Danio rerio: one gene and its partner. The protein of the gene in region 2 interacts with the protein of the main gene of each other region in a biochemical or structural test. Links are inferred from orthologs where the notes say so. Each region holds a gene or a part of one and is shown on either strand. Other genes may lie near its edges.

Region 1 (10,718 bases), on a different chromosome or scaffold from region 2:
ATTTCTATGGCGCTTTTACAATGTAGATTGTGTCAAAGCAGCTTAACATAGATTATAATAGATTGAAGCTGTGTCAGTCCAGTTTTCAGAGTTGAACTTCAGTTTAATTCAGTTCAGTGTGGTTTCATTTTCACTGCTGATGTTCAAACACTGAAGAGCAAATCCATCAATGCGCAGCTCCACAAGTCCCAAACCAATCAAGCCAGTGGCACACACATCACACATTTAAAATCAGCTATGAAATCTACATTTTTCTTCATCTCAAACTCCATTAATATACATATTTATCCAATGTACCTCTCTTAAAGAATTATAAGTAAACTATCATATTAAATATGTGTCTAAGTGAAAGCGGTTTTCAGGCATCGAAACAATTGAAATAAGAAATTTATTTTTTCCACAGATTCCTGTTTTTGGAGCAAAAACTAAAGATTTCCAGAAGAAATATATGCAACAAAAGTTTATGAATCAAAAAAAACTGACAGGCATACACTAACTGACAAAAGTCTTGTCGTCAATCTCAGTTGTAAGAGCAGCAAATAATAACTTGACTTCTAGTTGATTATTTGGAAAAGTTGCATATGATCATCAAGGCATGAAATGATCATTAAGGCATGATCATATTTTATTTACAATAAGCTTAATTTAGAGGCCTTTGCTTTTTATATAAGCCACTTCTGATACCAAATGATCTTCGAGAGAAGTTATCAGGGCTCGAAATTAACCTTTTTGCTTGGTAGCACCGGTGCTCCTAACTTTAAAAATGTTGGCGCATCAGCCAATATTTAGTCGCACCCACCAATTATGAGCACCGTTACTACAAGTTTTATACAAAAATATTTATTGTATTTGAAATCAACACTAATCAAACTAACAAGCAAAAAAATCATGTATAACGTTATATGCAAGCGTGAGGAAAATATGTCTCAACAAAATCCCGTTATCACAAGAAAATAAATTTTTATAACAGAACTGAGTGACCAAAGCATACACTGAGCGCTCACCTGCCCTGCACGCACTGCTTGAATTAATCTGTTAACCGTATAACTGTGCTGTTCTCACAAGTGCTGTCGGATATTGCACTGATGCTTTTGACATATACTGTACCCTATTATATGCATACATGTTAATAGCAATACCGGTCTTTTTAGGAGTAGCAATGTTAGTTTACTCAGTGTAAGCCCGTTTGCTATGGTGTACGTGGTGTTAAATTTGACATATAGCTGCCACGTGCACAGCGCACAGCATCTGGTGATTATATGAAGGATTAAACAGAAGCTCTCGTGCTAGATGTGCCAAACAGTTACCTGAAAATTCCATCCCACAGAATTTTCATAGCGGACTTGAAGCCAATAGAAGTCTTCTACTCTTAGAAAAGTGTAGATGGTGGATTAACATTCAGCACATGATCACTAGTAAGATGTGTCATTATTTGTAACTGTAGATGCCATGGTTTCTCAAATAAAATCTGTCAGTGTTATGCTATCTTCATTCTCATCTTCAGCGCTTTACAATTTTTCGCGGTAGTAGCTCTCTGTCATCCAAAGCCAGAAGGCGCTGAGTGATTGACAGCTTATATTAACCAATCATTCGCGTTCAGTGCTAGAGCAGTGGTGGGCCAATAAGAAGAGTGCGAAGGCGGGGCAAGCATTACGGACTTGGATTTGTTTACTGCAGCAAGTTGACATGACAACTGTTTTAAACCATTCCTGAGAACTGCGTTTCGCGTTTCAAGTGTAAACAAAGAGCTTAGAGATGCATTCTGCGTGAATGTCTCCCGAATCCGCGAAAGTGGTGAACATTTTGCAGTAAAAACTGGTCGCACACAACAATTTTAAGCACTCGCAAAAATGCTCCCAAATATATTTTAAGGTCGCACAGATAAAATTTCGGGCGCATATGCGACCAAAATGGTTGCAATTTCGAGCCCTGAGTTATTATTTGTTGTTCCTAAAATTGGATAGGTGACAAGACTTTTGTCAGGTAGCGTATTTAAAACAAGGATAGGTTGATGTACAGCTCTGAATATAGCAATCATCTGTTACGTTACATATCTTTACACTTAGTCACTCTCCTTTTTAAACGATTAAATTAAACCAATAAATTACTTTTTCAGCAAGAGCTTTTCATCGTTAAAAATAAAATCAGTTATTATTAGATTTTTGTGCTCAGTATATTATTACCTTGGGCAGGCTGATTGGTGTGCGTGGTCTTGTTCTGTCAGTCTTTATAAGGTGCCGCTGGTCTGCAGGTAAAAGGTGGTACTTCATCGCCTCAATGAGAAAGTCCTTACAAGTATTGTTGTTTTTTATTAAAGGTTCCTCCTCCACAATCTGTACAAATGCACAATCATGTACTAAAAATAATGCTTGAAGAAATTATGCACGAATAATGCTTGGATCATACCTGAACCAAGTAATCTCTGGACAGTAAGGGAAGTCGAACATGCTCCATGAGTTTTGGCATGTGCTCTAAACGGGCCTCTTTATCGTGCTTTATCCAGGCAACCATGGCCTCAAAAACCTGGCGGTGGAACAGATATTATGTTTTTCTCTGCATAATGTATGAGTGCAGCCCACAGCCACAGCAGGTCAGGCTGCCACCCTCCTCTGTCTGTGCCACTGCTCAGATGACACTGAAACATCTGACAGCTGCCATCAAGTGTGTGTATGTGTGTGCGTGTGCAGACTGGAGACACAAGTTACTCGTAAGCAGAGAGCAGCTAATGCAGTGTGACTGACAGATGGCTTGTCATCTCCTTCAGCACTGCACCAGCATGTACATGTAAAACCCAACTATCAATCGTTTGCTGAGTACAAATCGTGCAAGAATATGTTAAAAAAAACTGTCTGTGATTGAGAAGCACAATATGCAGATGTAAATGTATTAAAAGATAACATCTGAGTCAAAACACTTGGGTTTTTGTGTGTTACCTTCTCTTCAGTTGACACAGTCAGTTTGTCACTAGAGATCAGACTGCACACCTGCTGTAAGGACAGGGCCATAAACTCCTCGCCAACCATGACGTCTGTGAAGTGCTGCTCTGCTTTAATCAAGCAAAACATACTCAAAAAAACTAAACTGTACGTCAACATAAAAAGACATATCGGTGGGTTGCTTAATCGCCAAGCTGTTCCAAACTTCCCACAATGCATGAAAAAAGATGAGAGCTCACCGGCATAAGCGTGGGCCTGGCTGAGAAGTACTGTGCAGGCGTGAAGGTCAGCGAATGCTCGGATGCCCAAGCAGTTGGTGGGATGAAGCTGTGTCTGCAGGAAGTCACAGCAAACCTGTCGAACATCCATCAACTGCAGCAGACTGGCAGCTGGCAGCAACACCTGAACACAGCAGGGATAAACACATCACAAATACTAAACTATAAAAAAAGACATCACACATACTATACATTGGTATAATGTGTGTACATTCATATACATTCAGTTTTTAAATTAATTTCAGAAATATTATTGACTTATATAAAATGTTCATTTGATTTATTTAAAATACAGTATATGGTCTTTTGGTAGATATATTAATATATTATATGAGAGACCTGCTTTGTTTACCAAATAAGTGGATCTAATTGGATTTGCATTGTAAAATTAAATAAAAGTTAAAAAGCTATACTTTTTTATTTCATCATATATTACGTTTTTACTTATTATGATAATATGAGCTCCCAAAATAATTCCGCATAAATCTGCAGATTTTTTACAAAATCTCCATGGAAATTGCCAAAAATGTCCGCAAATACCATGTGGCCCTACTGATAACACAATAAGTTATGAAATGATGACTAGCCTTAAATGCAAAAGAGTTGTGCGTTACATTGATGCACAGACATACAGAACTGAAATCATTTCTGAAATAAGTATTTTATCCTCAAGAAGACTGCATTAAATTGGTAAATAAATATGTTGTGATATTACTATCATTTTAAAAAATATATCAGTTTAATTTCAAATAATTGTTTTAAAATGTTTTTTTTTTCTGTGATCCAAAGCTGATGTTTCAGCAGATATTACTCCAGTTTTCACAGCAGAACATAACATGATCTTCAGAAGTAATTTTATGATAGTTAATTACTGACTATTTTTATATTATCTAGTAGGGCTGCACAATATATTGTTTGAGTTTAGATATTGCAATATGTGCATCTGCAATAGTCACGTAGCAACATTTGCAATGTTGAGTTGGGATTACAGTTGACAACAAAAAAAAAAAAACACAGGAGATTAATGGAGACACTGTAGAATTTAACACTAATAATAGAGTGAAGGTTTATCATCTGCATATGTTTTTAAGGCCAGTGACTATGTGAGCATTTTTAATGAGTTTAAAGCATTTTAGTAGTGCATAAAAGTTTTATTATTTATATGATGAAGACTATGTAGAAATTTTTTACATTTGATTGTTTAATTTTTGAACGTGTATACTGTTACTCTCTCCAGAATGCTTGGTTTATTTCACTTTAATATGTGTTCTATCGTGTTTATGACTGTAGTTTGTTTATTATACATATATAATAAATTGCATAAATATATACATTTATATTTCACTCCCCAACAAAATCACCTCATGCTGTAAAACAATACAGTAGTGCACACAATACATTCATGTGGTCTCAAGGCAAATCGATTAAGTTTACTTAACAAATTCAAATTAATTTGACATAAAACAAATATAATCTCAAGAATTGTGTTGTTTTAGCCCATTAAAAAAGTTTATTTGAAGAAGCAGCAAAATAATTCTTTTGAGTGCAGTCAATCTTAAGTAATGACTTTGCAAATAGAGCTAATTGTAAATATAAAAAAATTAAAAAATATAAAATATTTATAATTTTTGCTTGTTCAACATACTTATTTAAAATAAGCTGAAACAAAACAATTCTTGAGATTTCATTGGAACAACTTGAATTTTTTATGTTTAATCTACATAAATTTGCTAAAAGTGCTAGGTTAACTTAATCGATTTGTGGTGAATGACTTGTGTGGAATCCTGCATTTTTACAGTGTATATTGCAGGGAAAAAAACACTTTCAAATTTCAAATTTTCCCATTATCGTGCAGCCCTGTTATCTACGTGTAACCAGTTCATCATTTTTGCCAAAACTGTTTTTAAAAGAACAGCATTTATATGACATTAAAATTTGAAATTGAATTTGATTCATTTAATTCATCTTCAACCTAATCTAAGTACACATTTATTTATTTTTAATAAAACAAAACAAACTTCTCAGAATTTCCCAGGCTTTGCATGGTAAGGTCTATATTAATATAGACAGAAATACCAATGGCTATTATTGTAATTACAATAATACACATAACATCAGTTATACTTCAAGTAAACGGTTAATAAATACATTTTAGTTATTAGCAAACCATTACACATGTGTTTCAAACCTAGTGCCAACTGATATACTAAATGAACTGTGATAATAATTAGAGGTATCAATGAAATGAAGGCAGCAGCAGCTACTTAACATACAAGTAAAGGCCACAGGGAAAAACGACACTAAATTAGATAAAAGCATCTGCTCTTGACCATCTTGTGTTGCCTGTGTCCATGTTCTTTCTAGTAAAAGAAAGAAAATGGCCTAAAGGGATATACAACACAGGGCGTATCACAGCACTGAATGACATAGTAAAAATCCCCAATGACCAACTAAGTCATAAACAGCCACTACCCCCCACTGAAGCATCTGCCCATGCTCTCCAGATGAAAACTAGGCCACTTCATGCTATTCTTGAACAAATGGCACGAAGCTTCTAAGATCATCTGTTCTCTTCTTCTACACAAAATAAGGCCCACACGCAAGCAACAGAGCACACAGGGACAATAGAGCTCCAACACAAAGGGCAAAGAGCAAATCGCAGAAAACTTCCTCTGCCTCTCTGCTCATTTCCTTTGCTAAAAATGAGAGGAAATACCCTTCACGAAAGCTCCAAAAGCAAAAAGTGCAATCAGCTTTTATACAAACAGCTAGTCACTTTTAATGTTTGAAACATTACAATGTATATGTTAGTGTTGTCTTACCTGAACGTTTTCTTCAGACACTTCTATCTCAGCAGAGTAAATATAATCCACCAGCTTCAAGAGCGTCTGTCCGTCAACATCCCTGATTTCGACATGATTAGCTTTGCTTTCACTCATGTCACCTGGATACAATAAACACAATGCAGAATTAGGCTTTGTTTACAACTGGTATTAAGATGCACACTGATACAGATTTCTTTGAAGAAAAGGCCTGTGATCAGGTTACAATTGTAGTCAAATGTATTATTCCTCCTGGGAAGATTTATTATTTTTTATATTTATCAAGTAATATTTCACATTTTTTTCCAACACATTTTAAAACTTTCTCATTTTACATGATTTCTGCAGGTTTCACCAAGTTAGATTTAAACTATTTTAAGACCATTATGAATTAAACTTAAGACTTATGCAGGGCTAAATGCTAAGTTTTTTTAAATTTCCCAGTTAGAAAAGATTTTTACTTGGCCAATCAAAAAATAATTACAAATTAATACATTTAATAATACAATAATTATACATTTGTAGAATATTTTTTATTCATTTTCAAATATATCCATTCACAAACCCTATATCCCGTACCAACAATAGAATAAAACATTAATATTACATTATTAATATAACATTAATAATAATTTAATAATAAAAACTATAGGTCAGCTCAGTATCCTCAGTAAAAAAAGTAGAACTTTTAAGCAAATGTTACTGTAGGAAAAGTAAAGAAATGCTATTTTTAAATAAAAAGTTAAACGTTTTATTGAGATGGATTGTTGGTCATTGTATGAGTGTTAATGGCCAACTGTTTCTTTTGTTTTTGCCATGATAATAGTGCATAATATTTTTCTAGTTATTTTGCAAGATACAAGTATTCTGCTCTACCAAATGGTTGACCATATTTCTACTGTTCTACTGTTTTAAATAAAGACTGTTAAAGTATTTTAAAGAATGTTGTAAAAAAACAAACAAACAAGAAAACATGTTAAATAAGAATCTGAAATATTTTATTGCATACTTCAAAAAATATAGATGATTCAAAAATGTTTTATTTTGATTAGGTTTGTAATAAATTGGTCTTACACCCAATTTTCTGATTTTGTATTATAAACCGACATATTTACTATTTGGTGGAGGTTGATATTTTAGAAATTATGTGATGTGTTGAAAAAAAAATGCATTGAATGTGTTAACTAGCAACATTAGGAGTTAAGAAATCCAATCCAAAAATGTATTTCTTGGTGGGGCAGTTAATTAAAGTGCAATATAAAGATTTAATTAGGTAACTTAGTTTACTAGGTAAGTTATTGAACAACGGTGGTTTAGTGACATTATCACAGGAGTGCTAATCATTTTGTCTTCGACTGTGTGTATAATTTTTTCAGAAATTTCTGGAACTGTGAAATTTGTATACAAATAATGTTAAAATAGGCAAAAAAAAAAAAAGATGTGGACAGCAGGAGCTTGTCGTTAATGCTCTATTAACCACAAAAATTCATCAAACTACTTCAACCGAACACTGTGCTTATTTTATTTTTTCACTTTCAAACCAAATGTACGATTTCAGACAGCAAAAATTTAAATCCCATCTTGTTATCCCACTTCAACATGGTGTCCCATAATGATTATTAGGCCAGTTGGCAGTGAACAGGTGGCCTTTTTCTGGCTGTTGAACCACTCGACCACATGAACATCTCATTACAAAAGCAATCTGGTCAAAAGCGTTTTCGACTACCTCTGGAAAAGGACCAGAATAGCCAGTTCAAAACATTTCAGATCCCTGATATTGAGCCTTATCCACTTGTGATTGAGACAAAAACAACAAAAAACATCTTATTACCATGTACACAGTTAAAAATGAGACCTAAATGTAAAGAAATGTACATCATAACATTTTTATGCAATCAACATGACTCATGAAGTAGTTTGCTAACAATTCAATCCATCTATAAAACGATAGTTCACCTACAAGTGAAGGTTTTATCATGATTTATTCCCTCTCATATTCCTCCAATCCTGTATGACTTTAGGTTTTATATAGCATATAAAAGAAGATCATTAAAAAGAGCAAATCGTGTTTGACACAAAATGAGACATAAATCCCCAATAGCAATTTTGAAGATAATTAAAGGGCAGTGTTGGACATGTCTCATCACTGTAAGAGTAGCATTAGAACATGTAAATAAAGAATACCTGTGAACATGGCGCAGAAGTAAGGGCTGCAGGATGCTAAAACTACTCTGTGTGCTGGGATTTCCACTTCGCCTGCCACCAACAAAACATCACAGAGCATCTTCCGACTGTGGTTATAAAGAAATGAAAGAAAATTTAGGGGTTAGATCAAGACTGCTTTTTTCCAAAAGTAATAAAAACCTACTTAGATTTTATAAACCATTGGCGGCAGTGGTTTCCGTGATCTTACATAGAATTGAGGTAATATAAACCAGAAATACCTTGTGGACAAGCAGCCTACACCAACACAACTTATAATTAACTTCAAGTCAAGTCAGATTTATTGCATTGTTCTAAACCTAAAGAATTATTACCAAAAATACATTATAAGCCAATATGTTCATGACATAGCAGACTAGGGTTGGGCGATTTGGCTTAAAATCAAAATCTCAATTAACTGAACATTTTACCCTGATTACGATTTATGAACGATTATTTTATTTATTTAAATTTTTTAACTCTTTGCATATTAATTGTGTTCTTATATTTATTTGAATAAAGGGTGCATTACTTGACTTTAAAATAATTGAGGGAAACACAAACTATCTACTATCTATGATCATTTATTGAACGTCATAAAAGGGGTCTCAAGGCATCTCTGGCGCAGCCTCCAATCATCATCAATGTAGTGCAAAAGTGCAACGTGTAGTTACGTATTTTGAGAGGTGCGCAGGTATGCGAGCTCGTGAAGGCTGCGCCGGACCATGCCCGTGCGTTCGATGCAAAAGTATAAATCTGTCTTAACAGAGCGAGATCACATGACTCCACACACAGCAGGGAAAGTAATTGAAAAAAATTGACCTGGAAAATTTTGATCGATTATAGGTTCTGAATGTGATTACTTTTTAAATAATCGCTCAGCCCAATAGCAGACCTCACCAATCTTAAAGTTTACATTTTGCAACTACAATGAAGCAGTTGAGATAGGCTACATAATACATACTGCCCTACATGACTATACTGTACGCATGCAAATAAAGTTGAACAAACATATAATTTTGTCCCATTTTGGTGTAAATATATGACAATCTATGGGTTTTACATGTATGTACAATGAAAAGATGCATTTAAGAAAAACTACACTTACTAAAATGACAAGGGATTCCCCCACATTCCAAAGACATGCAGTATAGGTGAATTGGATAAATGAAATTAGCAGTAGTGTGTGAATGAGAATGCATGAGTGCCAGATTAATTAATGGTTCATTCCACTGTGGTGACCCTGATAAATCAGAGACTACACTGAAGGATAGTGAGTGAGTGTTGCATGAATAAATATGGATATTATGGTATATAAACTATTGATGCACTGAACGTATTGGGTCTTAACAATTACATTTGATAGGAAAATAAAACTTCACATCAACCAGAACATTTTTGTGAAGGATCAAATTGAATATGGTACAAATCCACTCCAAGGCAGCTAACCTGGAAATGCCCCTATCGATGTCTGCCTCCCTGAACACCATGAAAAACAAAGGGTTGAATAACAAGTTATATCACTTTACTAACCTTCTCAAGTCATTCATGAGCAGAAAGGCTTTCCTCATGTGTGTGTGACTGAAGGTGTGCAGCCCTGGATCTTTGGCATCGTCCTGAGAGTCCAAACTAGGCACAGGACAAGGGACTCCAAATCTAGTCAACGAATCAAAACAGACCTAATCAACTAATGCTAAATAGCATAATGTTACACCAATTAAACAACAACAAAAAACGAATCTCTCGATCTAAGGACCACCTAAATTAACGTTTAATAGTTTCCAATGACAACTTCATTGCACAGTTGTTCAACAACAATGTTATTACGGGATGACAAGAGTCAGTTTTAGACCACATCACTGCATATGGAATCAAGTTACTGAACGATTATGATAATATTTTGATTATCTCGTGAACTATGGACAAGCTAGTCTAGAACAGTATCATTTCACGTTACATAGACGAATTTGTATAAAAACCCTTAAATATTAAGTGTCATTTTAAAATGAATTCCCAGGAGTGGATACACAACCCTCCGCTAGCAATTTAGCTGCTACAAATTGTACTACAGGATCACAAGGCGTTATTCTGTTAGTTTCAAATTAGAATTTAATATATTACTTTCTCTTCTGCAGACATATTTGTTACAAGTTATCTGCATTTCTCTTTTTTATAATCACACACTTACCCGTCATAGTCCATGTTTGAGCAATATCGCGCTAGGCAGCTGGCTAAAGTTAGCTTGCTACATCATTTTTCCGTGTAGGATGTGTAACTCATTCATTCCCTTTATAGACGTGCGTGGTATTTTAAAGCTTTAAGTCGAGTAATGTATGTCTTCATAAGTATTCCTCGTGCTGAGCCTTGTCTCTCGTGAGATGGCCGCGGTTGTTTATCTGACTGGTTAGCAGCTCATAGCTATCGCTGCCTCACTGACTTTACACCCAGGACCGTCGTAGCGGTCCTCCATCATCAGAGGG
Region 2 (10,718 bases):
AATGCTCATTTTTGGGTCAACTATCCCTTTAAGCACATTCAACACCTCTGACTTTTCTGTGTTGAACTGTGGTTTCACAGCAGAGGAAATAACTGCAAAAAATAGTAATAATTTGCTATCAAAGTAGATGGTGCGGCATTAATATTGTCATGTACAATAAAATTGCAAAGTACTTGGATCAATCCCAATCTAGCAAATACACAAAACTGCTCTGTGTGTCAAACAATGCACTCAGTTCAATTGCCGATTCCAAGTTGACCTACATTTGGTGCGGTCAGCTGCCATCTCTGGAATGAGAAACATTTAGCTGCGAGTTTGCCTTTGCCAAGCCCTGTGGGGACGGCTGTTTGCCCCAAGTTAGGGTTCAAAGTTCCCTAACCGCTTAAATGTGCATAACTAACACAATTAGAGGTGTTTAGCATAATGTCTTTAGTAGGGTAATGCTTAACATAAAGCCATTATAGTGGCAATTGATGCGAGTTAGAGGAAGGGGGACTCGCATTGCACCCCACCCTACAGCAGACCTACTTTTTCTCCCTTCCTCTGACTATTCCAAATATGCAGTGCACTCTGTGGCCTGTGGGACCCGGCAAGTGAAGCGTGGGAGCGTCTTTCTCCAGAGGAGAGATGGCCCGCATGCTGAGCTCCAGTATGAGGATTAAGCTCCTGGCATGAATCCGACTCACGTGTGAGGGCACATACCACTTCAGGCGGGAGATAAGGAATTAGGATTAAGGAGAGGATTTGAAAGAAATTACCTGGAAATATTAAGAAATACTTAAAAACTATGCATTTCAGTTGGCTGGGATTGTGTGTAGCAATTGATGATTACAAGGAACAGCACAAGGATTGATATTCCTGGAATCACATGCTTTGTGAACAATTCTATTAGGAGCTGCATGTGCTTATTTCCTATATTAAATGACTATAATGATATTTCTAAGGAGGTATCTAAAACACTACAAAAAATAAAAATTAAAAATTAAGCAAAAGTAAACACCTAACAGACAAAAAAGTATTTTAATAAACATTTTTACTTTAAACTCATCTCATTATTGCTTCAAATAAAGATTAGAAAGGTTTTTAATAAAATATATCATAAATGATGCCAGAAATAAAAAAAAAGAAAAGAAAAAAAAATCTCTCAAAAAATCCTGGTCGAAAAAATTTACTTTTGCTAAAAATCTATCTATGTGCTTTCTTAAATATTTGAAAAATGAAAAATAAATAACATCATTTATTTGCAATAGTAAAGACTTTTACATTGTTCCAAACAAAATTCCACTTTTGATCAATTTAGTGTATTCTTTATAAATTAGACAAATCCCTTACTGACCCCCTAACTTTTAAATAATAGAGTACATACATTGTAAATGTATGACTGTATTTATAAATAAAAAAAGAGCTTTTTAACTTTTAGTAACCAGAACTTTAAGAGACTGTAAATAGGGCAATGCAATATGATAATATACATCATATGGACAAAATAAAAAGTCTATCTTTTCAAATAATGCTCTATTGTTTATTTTGTGGTGCCATAAAATACACTGTTAGAGGTAATAATTTATTTTCATAATTTATACGAGTACAATATTACACGCCATTATGGGGATGCAAACAGAAACATGAACAGCTTTAAACTTTATTAGCCCCCTTCAAATTTTTTTCTTCTTTTTAAAATATTTTCCAAATGATTAACAGAGAAAGGAAATTTTCACAGTATGTCTGATAGTATTTTTTCTCCTGGAAAAAGTAATATTTGTTTTATTTTGGCTAAAATAAAAGCTGTTTTTAATTTTTTTTAAACCATTTTAGGGACAAAATTATTAGCCCCTTTAAACTTAATTTTTTCTCAATAATCTCATGAACAAACCATCGTTATACAATAACTTGCCAAATTACCCTAACTTGCCTAGTTAACCTAATTAAGCCTTTAAATGTCACTTTAAGCTGTATAGAAGTGTCTTGAAAAATACCTAGTCAAATATTATTTACTGTCATCATGGCAAATATAAAATAAATCAATTATTAGAAATGAGTTATTAAAACTATTATGATTGGAAAATGTGTTGGAAAAATCTGCTCTCCATTAAACAGAAATTGGGGGAAAATAAACAAGCTGTCTAATAATTCAGGAGGGCTAATAATTCTGACTTCAACTGTGTGTGCGCGTATGTGTGTATATATATATATATATGTGTGTGTGTGTGTGTGTGTGTGTGTGTATATATATATATATGTATATATATATATATATATATATATATATATATATATATATATATATATATAAATAAATATAAATATAAATATATATATATATATATATATATATATATATATATATATATATAAATATATATATATATGTGTGTGTTTGTGTGTGTGTGTGTGTGTGTGTGTATATATATATGTATATGTATATGTATATATATATATATATATATATATATATATATATATATATATATAAAATGTATAAACTATTATTTGGTTAAATCACTGAAATGGCACTGTATTGTGATCTATAAACAGGATATGAGATCACATGTAGAGATGCTCTGATCGATTGGCCGGAGATCGGTATCTGCTGATTACATTTTTTGACTCAAACAGTACTTGCAAATCTGGCTTATCTCATGAATCGATTTTTAATGGGAAAAAAAAACTTTTTTAACTTGAATATTTAATAATATGCCTTTTTGTAATGTACTTGTCGCAATAAACAAATATGTATTTATAGGTGTGCATTTTAACTTCTTATGCATCAAATATGGGCTCTAAACCTTTTCGTGATTGAGACATGTTGAATTCTTCCATCATTTACAGTGTTTCTTAAATTGCATTATTAGTCATTTTTATACTATTTTTTAATCAGTTTTATCTATTAATTTCTGCATATGACATGTCCACACTAAATGGTTATAAGTAAAATGTTTAAAATCAGGATTATTTGCAAGATCCTTTATTTATTCTCTTAGGTAAGGAGACATTTCCACTCAAGTATATTTAGAGGAAAATGTGCTTTATGCATTTTAAAGCTTGAAGCATTAGTACTCTTGGTACTCTGTATCGGCTGATCAGCATGATAAGGAATCGTTACTTGGTATTGGCTGCAAAAATGCTGATCAGAGCATCCCTATAATATATAGTATTACTTTAATAGATTTTTAAACAAAATATTCAGCACATTAAAACAAAAAGTAGCCATTATAAATGCTGTCAAAGGGCCATAGAAACCTTTTAATAGTTCAAAGTTAGAACAGAAGGCTAAATGGATTTACACGGGTCTGTTAAAGGGATCAAAAGCAGGGCGAAAGCCAAATGCAGGACAACTGGGGTAAAACTTAACAGTTGCTGGAAAGTCAGTGGTATGCAATCGCAACCATGACTCAATTCTCTGGCTAGTTTAGACATAGCATTTAATGTGGTATATTCACTTGGACATATACAGAAACTTCAGTAAAAAAGAAGCATCTGAGAGCTATTTTCCTTTTCTATTTGTGGTGACCTACATATTGTTCAAATGTGTTTAGCATGTGAAAAAAGAAAAGGAGACAAATGTGGGAGGGGAATATCCCTGAGTTTAACATAAGGCGCCGAGGACAGATGGCCTTCTCGGGGAAGATATACAGGCCCTTCCCTTTTTTCTGCAGCACTGTGAACTCACAGCTTGGAACGCATAGCAGCATATCACAAAAAGACAAGCTGAGAGATAAAAACAAGGACAGTGAAATGCGAAAAAAGGATATAAATGGAGACTGAAAGCTAAAGAGAGAGAGAGGCCTTTGTTTCAACTATGTATGAGCTGGCTACGCCTGAGGGCCCAAAGCAAGAGAATTGCAGCTCACGTGGTGCTGCTTCGTCATCGCTCTGCACAAAAAAAAAAAAAAAAGAAGCGAAAAAAATAGGCAGCAGGGGGTGGAGAGAAGCTGTAGAGTCAAGCCGTGGCAAACCAGCTCGAAATACTTCACACAGGAGATTACCATTGCTTTGGTGGTTGAACTTGACCCACTTTTCAAATCACACCTCTCGATATGTTCTCAAAACTGCTTCTTCATGATAAAAACAAAACCGAGGTTGCCTCTGAATGCATGAAGGCTTGTTAGAAGTGAGCTGGTGATTTTCCGATGGAGGTGCTGTTGCTAAGCAAACCTCGTGGAGATTAGTCATGCTTTTATCATATCATAAACTAATAAAAGTCAAAAGATTGCAGGGATGTATTCACTGTGTAATTATTCTAGTGTGCAGTATAAAAGCTCATGTTTCTCACGGTTTGTCACCCATTACAATTCATTTGGAATAAATCTATTAATTAGAGAACAATTAAATGATTGTAGACTGTAAATAAGAATGTAAAAATATTTTGAGCATTAGTTAATAAACACAGCTCAGCTCTAATAAATAATTTTGTCATACATTTTTAAAAGTATAAAGTTGTAATTGTTATTGTTCACATCAAGTATGATTAATAAGTGCATGAAAAGTATTTTTCTCATTAACTAATGTAGCTAACTAACAAACAAAACACTCAGTGTTACCAATATACTTTAACTAAGAATGTCACAAGTAATAATTGAATTGTCACAAGAAATAAACTACAGTTTAAAAATAGATATACAATACAAAACAAATGTAATTATAAATTATATATATATATATATATATATATATATATATATATATATATATATATATATATATATATATATATATATATGTATATATGTATACACACACACACACACACACACACATACTTGCATATATATATATATATATATATATATATATATAGCCAGCCATTGTGAAGCAATCAATTTGCATTAAATTGTTGTTTCAACTAAATATCTTATTAATAACTCACAATCGTGTTATGTGGATGGATGGATGGATGGATGGATGGATGGATGGATGGATGGATGGATGGATAGATGGATAGATGGATAGATAGATAGATATACTGCGGTGAGGAAAAGTCAAGGTTTGAAAACCGCCAAAATGATCTGCTATACCATTCATAAGGTATGTGTAAGATTTTTTTATTTACCTTTTTTACTTTTGTTTTTTAGGACAACAGTATCTCCAGAAGAAAAAAATATCCAAAGATGTTGTTTTAAATTGTGAAGAAATAGGTGTTTTTGAAACTAATGAAGACTGCAGAAGTCAATGACTGATTTGAATGATTTAGCCTGACATGTTTACTGCTCCAAAATAGTTGATATGTTTCTTAAAATAAATTGTGTTAAAGGAGGAAAAAAGTTTTTGTTCTGACATTTAAAAAGAGTATATTTTAGAGCAGTAATCACAATACCATGAAACTGTGATATCCCAGGCTATCATACTGTCAGAATCTTATACCGGCCCATGCCTAATCAGGGATGCTCCGATCAGGGTTTTGCACCCGAAACAAAGTACCAATTCCTTGTCATGATGATCGGCCGATGCAGAGTACCGATTCTGATGCTTTAAGCTTTATAATGCATAAAGCACATTTTTCCTAAGTATGATCTCCCTAAGTGGAGATCTCACCTGCAATCGCTTACACTTAAACGTTTGATGAGATTGACCAGATTGGCGAGTACTGATCGAGTAACTAAATGTGATTATCGGCAAATACGATCTCTGGCCGATTAATCGGAGCATCCCGAATATGAATATTTATATTGTTTTTTTTTACTAATTTAAAATCAAAATAAGATATAAGTAGCAAATAAATAAAAGGGAGAGAAATAAATAATAATAAAAAAATATATGCTATAAGAATATTTTACTTTGATAAAGTAACAAGCTTTGACAGCTATAAGACTATCTAAAAGTTTAAATAAACTTTAAATAAACACCACCAATGTTTTAGTGTGTATATCACACAGCTTAAAATACCTGCCCGGAGGTCTAAAGCCTAATTAGGAATTGAGGGGGTTCTATTTAGAGATGATACTACAATACAAGGGCTAGAGCCAAAGATGACAACAGCTATAAAAACACTGGCCAAATGCCATATGGGTTAAGTGTGAAGGGTGTGTGTTGAGACGTTTCATAGGTGAGAAATGCCAAAGGTGTGACAAAAGGACTAGTAAAAGTGTCTTCCTTCTTCTAAAAAAGATTACACAACTAAATTAAGACTGAACAATACAAGCGGATGACACACCATTTTAAAAGGCCCAGGTGGGGCGCTGAAAATTTAAATCAAACTTAGTCATAAGACTGTAATAACCAGGTGCTGTACCGGAAACACCTTAAGACAGGGTTGTAAGTTCATGAGAATGAGACCGTATTTGCTGTAGAACCAGATGAACAGATCAGATAGTGATTTACCACCGTCAGCGGATAGATCAAGAGTGTTAACAACGTCAAGTGTTGCACTTTGTTATCCTAGCTGTCAAAAACTGTGACGTGCTGCCCACAGATTGCAACAATCAGGATCCATAAATGTAAAAATGCATTCATTTTATGCATGCGGTAACTAATTTTTGATGACAACCTATAAATCTTTATAGACAGAATTTAAACTATATATGTTATTAATAACTCACTATCGTGTTATTCCAATCTCTTGAGACTTTTGTTCAATTTCAGAAAACACATTAAGATATTTTAAACCAGACAGCTCTTATTCAGCATAGCCAGCAATGATCCCAAGACATTCGAAGTCCAGAAAAGAACCATTGTCAAAACTACAAGTGCCTTAATGATCTGATATGTAAGGGCCTACTCACACTATGCTATCCGAACCGTGCCCAGGCTCGTTTTCCGAATTGTTTGAAAAGTGTGAGTGCTCTGAATCGGACTCAGGCACGGTTCACTTGACTGGCCTTGGCCCGGTTGGAAGAGGTGTGCAAGAGCGCGGTTCACTTGGAGACGTGAGTTTTAAGGGACTGATTGATACGGATTTATTAATCATTCTTACTGTTCAGTGAACGCAAACTATCGTAGTTTATTAAAGACGCAAACCCCACACTGCACAACAACTGCACCTTCAGCAAAACTCCTAATTCCTGCAGCATGAGGACTTTATGATTGTTTATTAGCATCAAAAGTGGTTGATCTGTTTGTTCTAAACCACTGAATAACAACTAAACCACTGAAGTGACAATTTTTTTTGTTGGACAATATTTTTGGTTTTCTTGGCATTTGAGATCGCGACCGTTGCTGTTTATGGAGGATGAGGGAGCTCTCAGGTATTTATCATATTTTCGACATTTCAAAATGTTGGTTTCAATAACGCATTCTAACAAAGAAAAATAAATTAATATAACTTTACAAATACACGTACCTGTAACTCACACCATGCAACCTCCACTGTAGTTTCCGTATCCAGTCCCTTGTAGACCGTCTTAAAAGAGCCACGTCCTATCTCGATGTCAAACTTCAAGAAGCGGCCATCCGGTGATGTCCCAACAGCGTTAGTCTCAATTTCCTCATTGTCTTCCTCCTCCTTCTTAGCATCCCGCAACTCAGCCTCAGCACGTGCCGCCTTTTCTTTACTATCTTCATCCTCCTCTTTCTCAACCTCTCGTTTTCCATCAATGCTATCTCCAGACTTCACCTCTGAAACCAAACTAGGTGCTTCTGCAGAAAGATGCAGTGCAGCGTTTGTAATCAACACTGGTGTTGACTCAATAACCATCTCAACAACATCAGCCACTTTTTTTTCTGGTGCAGATTGTGTGATCACTGAAGCGGCTTTGGTTTCTAGGGCAGGAGGTTCACAGACAGGGGCATGGGAGTCAGTGGAGTGGGTTAGGATTGCATTCTTGCTGGGCAGCTCAAGCGCTGTAGCATTGGAGTCGTTGATGACGCTGCGGCGAAAGAAACGGTGCTCTGCCTTCAGCAGTTCTCGATCCATGGTGTGGTGGCGACGACGGACATCGACACCTAGATGCTCACCCACCAGAGTGTCTGAGCTGGAGCCGTTGGTGTTCTTCGAAGGGGGGGAAAGGAACTTGACCATCTTGTCGTTGAGATTTTCTGACATTTCTCCACCAAGTGGAGCGTGAAGTTAGTTGAACCTTATATGCTATCCATGCAAAAAAGTGGCAGTATAAATATCTGATATCAAGAAGAGGCCGCTTTAAACCAAGTGGAAACTTGATAATCCTTCCTCCTCTCGAAACAGCAGTTCAGATAAAGTCAATACTTTTGCAAAATAAAGTGTTGGAGAGAAGCACAGGAAGTCCCTGGTGATAAAAGTAGCGCAGGATCCATGCACAGTTCAAAATACTTTGATGATGATGATGATGATTGTGGTGATTAAAAGGAGACTTCAGCTCATCCATCCTTTGAAAAAATGTGGGGTGTATTCAATCAACATAGGGGGTCTCCTGAGGGGGCAGGGTAGTAAAAGTAATAAAAGCTGATAAAAGTAGTGGTCACTTTCGACCCCAAGGTCGTGCTGGGGAAAAAAGTTTAACCCTTGCGTCCAATTCCCTGAAAAAGATACAAAATATAGTTTTACAAAAATGGCTAGAAGATTAGAAAGTGAGAAAAATGATCACCATATTATGTACATACAGAAATTTAATGGTCTTCACAACAACCCAAAATAAACCTTTGAATCAACTTGACAGTAAAACATTACTATTATACAATAAAATTTGATTATTAATACAAATAAATGTACAGTAATTCAAATCATACATGCATATATGACATGTAAATCTTTATTTTTAAATACATACGTGTGTGTGTGTGTTTATATATCATAATACATATACACAAAATACAAACTTTGGATGTGATTATTCATGATTAATCATTCAACAGCACTAACTTAATGTAATAAATAAAACAGATTTAACAAATCGAGAAGCCAGGAAAGTTAAAACAAGACTGATTTCAGGGCCATAATAAGGGAATGGCTGTTTAGCAAAGGGGCAAATAAATAACTAGTCTATAATTAAAGAGTTTTCTCTCACCTACTAAAAAGATAGGATTTATTTATTTTTTACTTTACAAATAGACCTGTCATACTGAAACCTTCAGAAAAAAACAGCAGGAAGTAACACTTTGATTTTTTTTTCATCACTTTACACTTCGGGTAAATTTTCGTCAACACATTTCGCATCAAGATGGTTCATTAACGTTTGACAAAACTCATTTGACATGAATATAACTAGCAATGTGTTGCTTGCTTGCTTGCTTATATCTTTGACGTAATTTAATGAGTGCACTGTATCTATCTTCAGGACAGTGAACATATGCTGAGGGATTAGTAAATTAGATTCGCCATGTGTACAACAAACTGTCTACCGTTTTATATTAAAAACAAGTTGAATAAAATAAACTAAAATAAGTAAACATTTTTTAAAGTAACATTTATATGCTTGTTGATTGGGTAAAATACTGAATAATGCACTAGACACTTTTTTCATCAAGTAACGTTAATGCCTAAACCATAATGTTAGTTGGGATTTTAGGATGTCAAACTTTTATTTAGAGTGTCAGTTGCCTAAAGTTATCAAAAGACTAAAAAATAATTACGCTAAAATCATGTTGACTAAACTTACGTTACCTTTATGGTAACTTTGTCATTTTAAACTTGAAAGACAATTGTGGAAAACACCGGAAAAGCTAATTATTCGAAACTTATAACGTTATAGGGAAAGGAATTAAAGTTAGACAGCATAATGCTGAACAAATGAACATTAAAACCAAACTTATATTCAAATTTTTAAGATGAGCTGTCCCTTTAAGAGCTTTTTTTAAATGTATCAAAACTGCCGTTACAAATAAATAATCTAAAACATAGGTTGACTTATGTGAACACACAAACTGGATTAGTTTTACCAGTTTATCGTGACATTTAAGACAAAAACTTACCATAATGTAAAGTGTCGTCGTCACTCTTTTCAGTTATCGGCGAATAACCAACGGCTGACTCCAGGTTTAACCGGTAATTCCCCAAACGCGCGTGCTCCGTATTTGAAATAACGTTTACCTCGCGCGAAGCATGTGAGCCACTCAAATACCCTCGATTGACGAGATATTCATCCACTAAAAACCCAACATAATGGCTAAACGTCGGTTTCTGTGCCTCCGGTCCCAACAGTCTCGAGCGATACTGCGAAGTTCGAGTGTCAAACACACAACAGCAGCCGCTTCCGCTAATGGTTGCTCGCGAGACTGCAGAGCAGGTTCTCTTTGTTATTCTCTTTCAACTGACCTCGATTCATCTTCCTTGTGCACTCATCTACTGCATGACGGCGCGCGTGCAAACGTTGCACCTCAAGTTGACGCTGCAATATGTACACCTACAGGAATGACCAAAAACCCTATAAGACACGTTATATCCATTTAATGTTATGCCGACATGAAACTTGGCTTTGGCTGCTGCGCGTTCAGGAGAGCTTTGCGCCTCTATTGTTGACAGCGAAAGATCCCGCGCTGATCTAGACGATATGCACGCGCAGGGCTCAAGACCGCGGAATCTGCATGCCATCGATTCTCTAAATTTTCGCCATTGCATAAATGTATGCTTACATGAACAAACCGGTTTCGTGATCGACAATAACCCGGACTCTGTCCACTCCCCCCGGCTTCTTGTCTTTGTCCAAATAAATGTCGTAGAGTTAGAAAACAGCGCCGCCTGCTGCACCATGAAGAGTGTGAACGTGTGTAAAATGGTGTCTTTAAAGGAACAGTTCCCTCAAAATGACTCGTTAACATTTACTAAACTTGCGTGACTATTCTATTCAGTCTAGCATAAAATATGACTT

Evidence for each region.
Region 1: of the proteins of wnk1a (region 2) and klhl3, one has a biochemical effect on the other in vitro, tested with the Homo sapiens proteins (2 studies listed by BioGRID). The link is inferred for Danio rerio from reciprocal best matches to the Homo sapiens genes WNK1 and KLHL3.

The regions. Positions count from the first base shown.
Region 1 is NC_133189.1:28,554,883-28,565,600, reverse strand, and holds part of klhl3 (kelch-like protein 3), read right to left. Parts: 5' UTR 10,441-10,718; coding exon 10,427-10,440; intron 9,895-10,426; coding exon 9,772-9,894; intron 8,328-9,771; coding exon 8,221-8,327; intron 6,159-8,220; coding exon 6,037-6,158; intron 3,339-6,036; coding exon 3,176-3,338; intron 3,044-3,175; coding exon 2,934-3,043; intron 2,524-2,933; coding exon 2,407-2,523; intron 2,334-2,406; coding exon 2,184-2,333; intron 911-2,183; exon of another isoform or gene 709-910; intron 1-708. UniProt on the Homo sapiens protein: Substrate-specific adapter of a BCR (BTB-CUL3-RBX1) E3 ubiquitin ligase complex that acts as a regulator of ion transport in the distal nephron.
Region 2 is NC_133200.1:22,389,871-22,400,588, forward strand, and holds the start of wnk1a (serine/threonine-protein kinase WNK1), read right to left. Parts: upstream 10,536-10,718; 5' UTR 9,823-10,535; intron 8,431-9,822; 5' UTR 7,979-8,430; coding exon 7,277-7,978; intron 1-7,276. UniProt on the Homo sapiens protein: Serine/threonine-protein kinase component of the WNK1-SPAK/OSR1 kinase cascade, which acts as a key regulator of blood pressure and regulatory volume increase by promoting ion influx.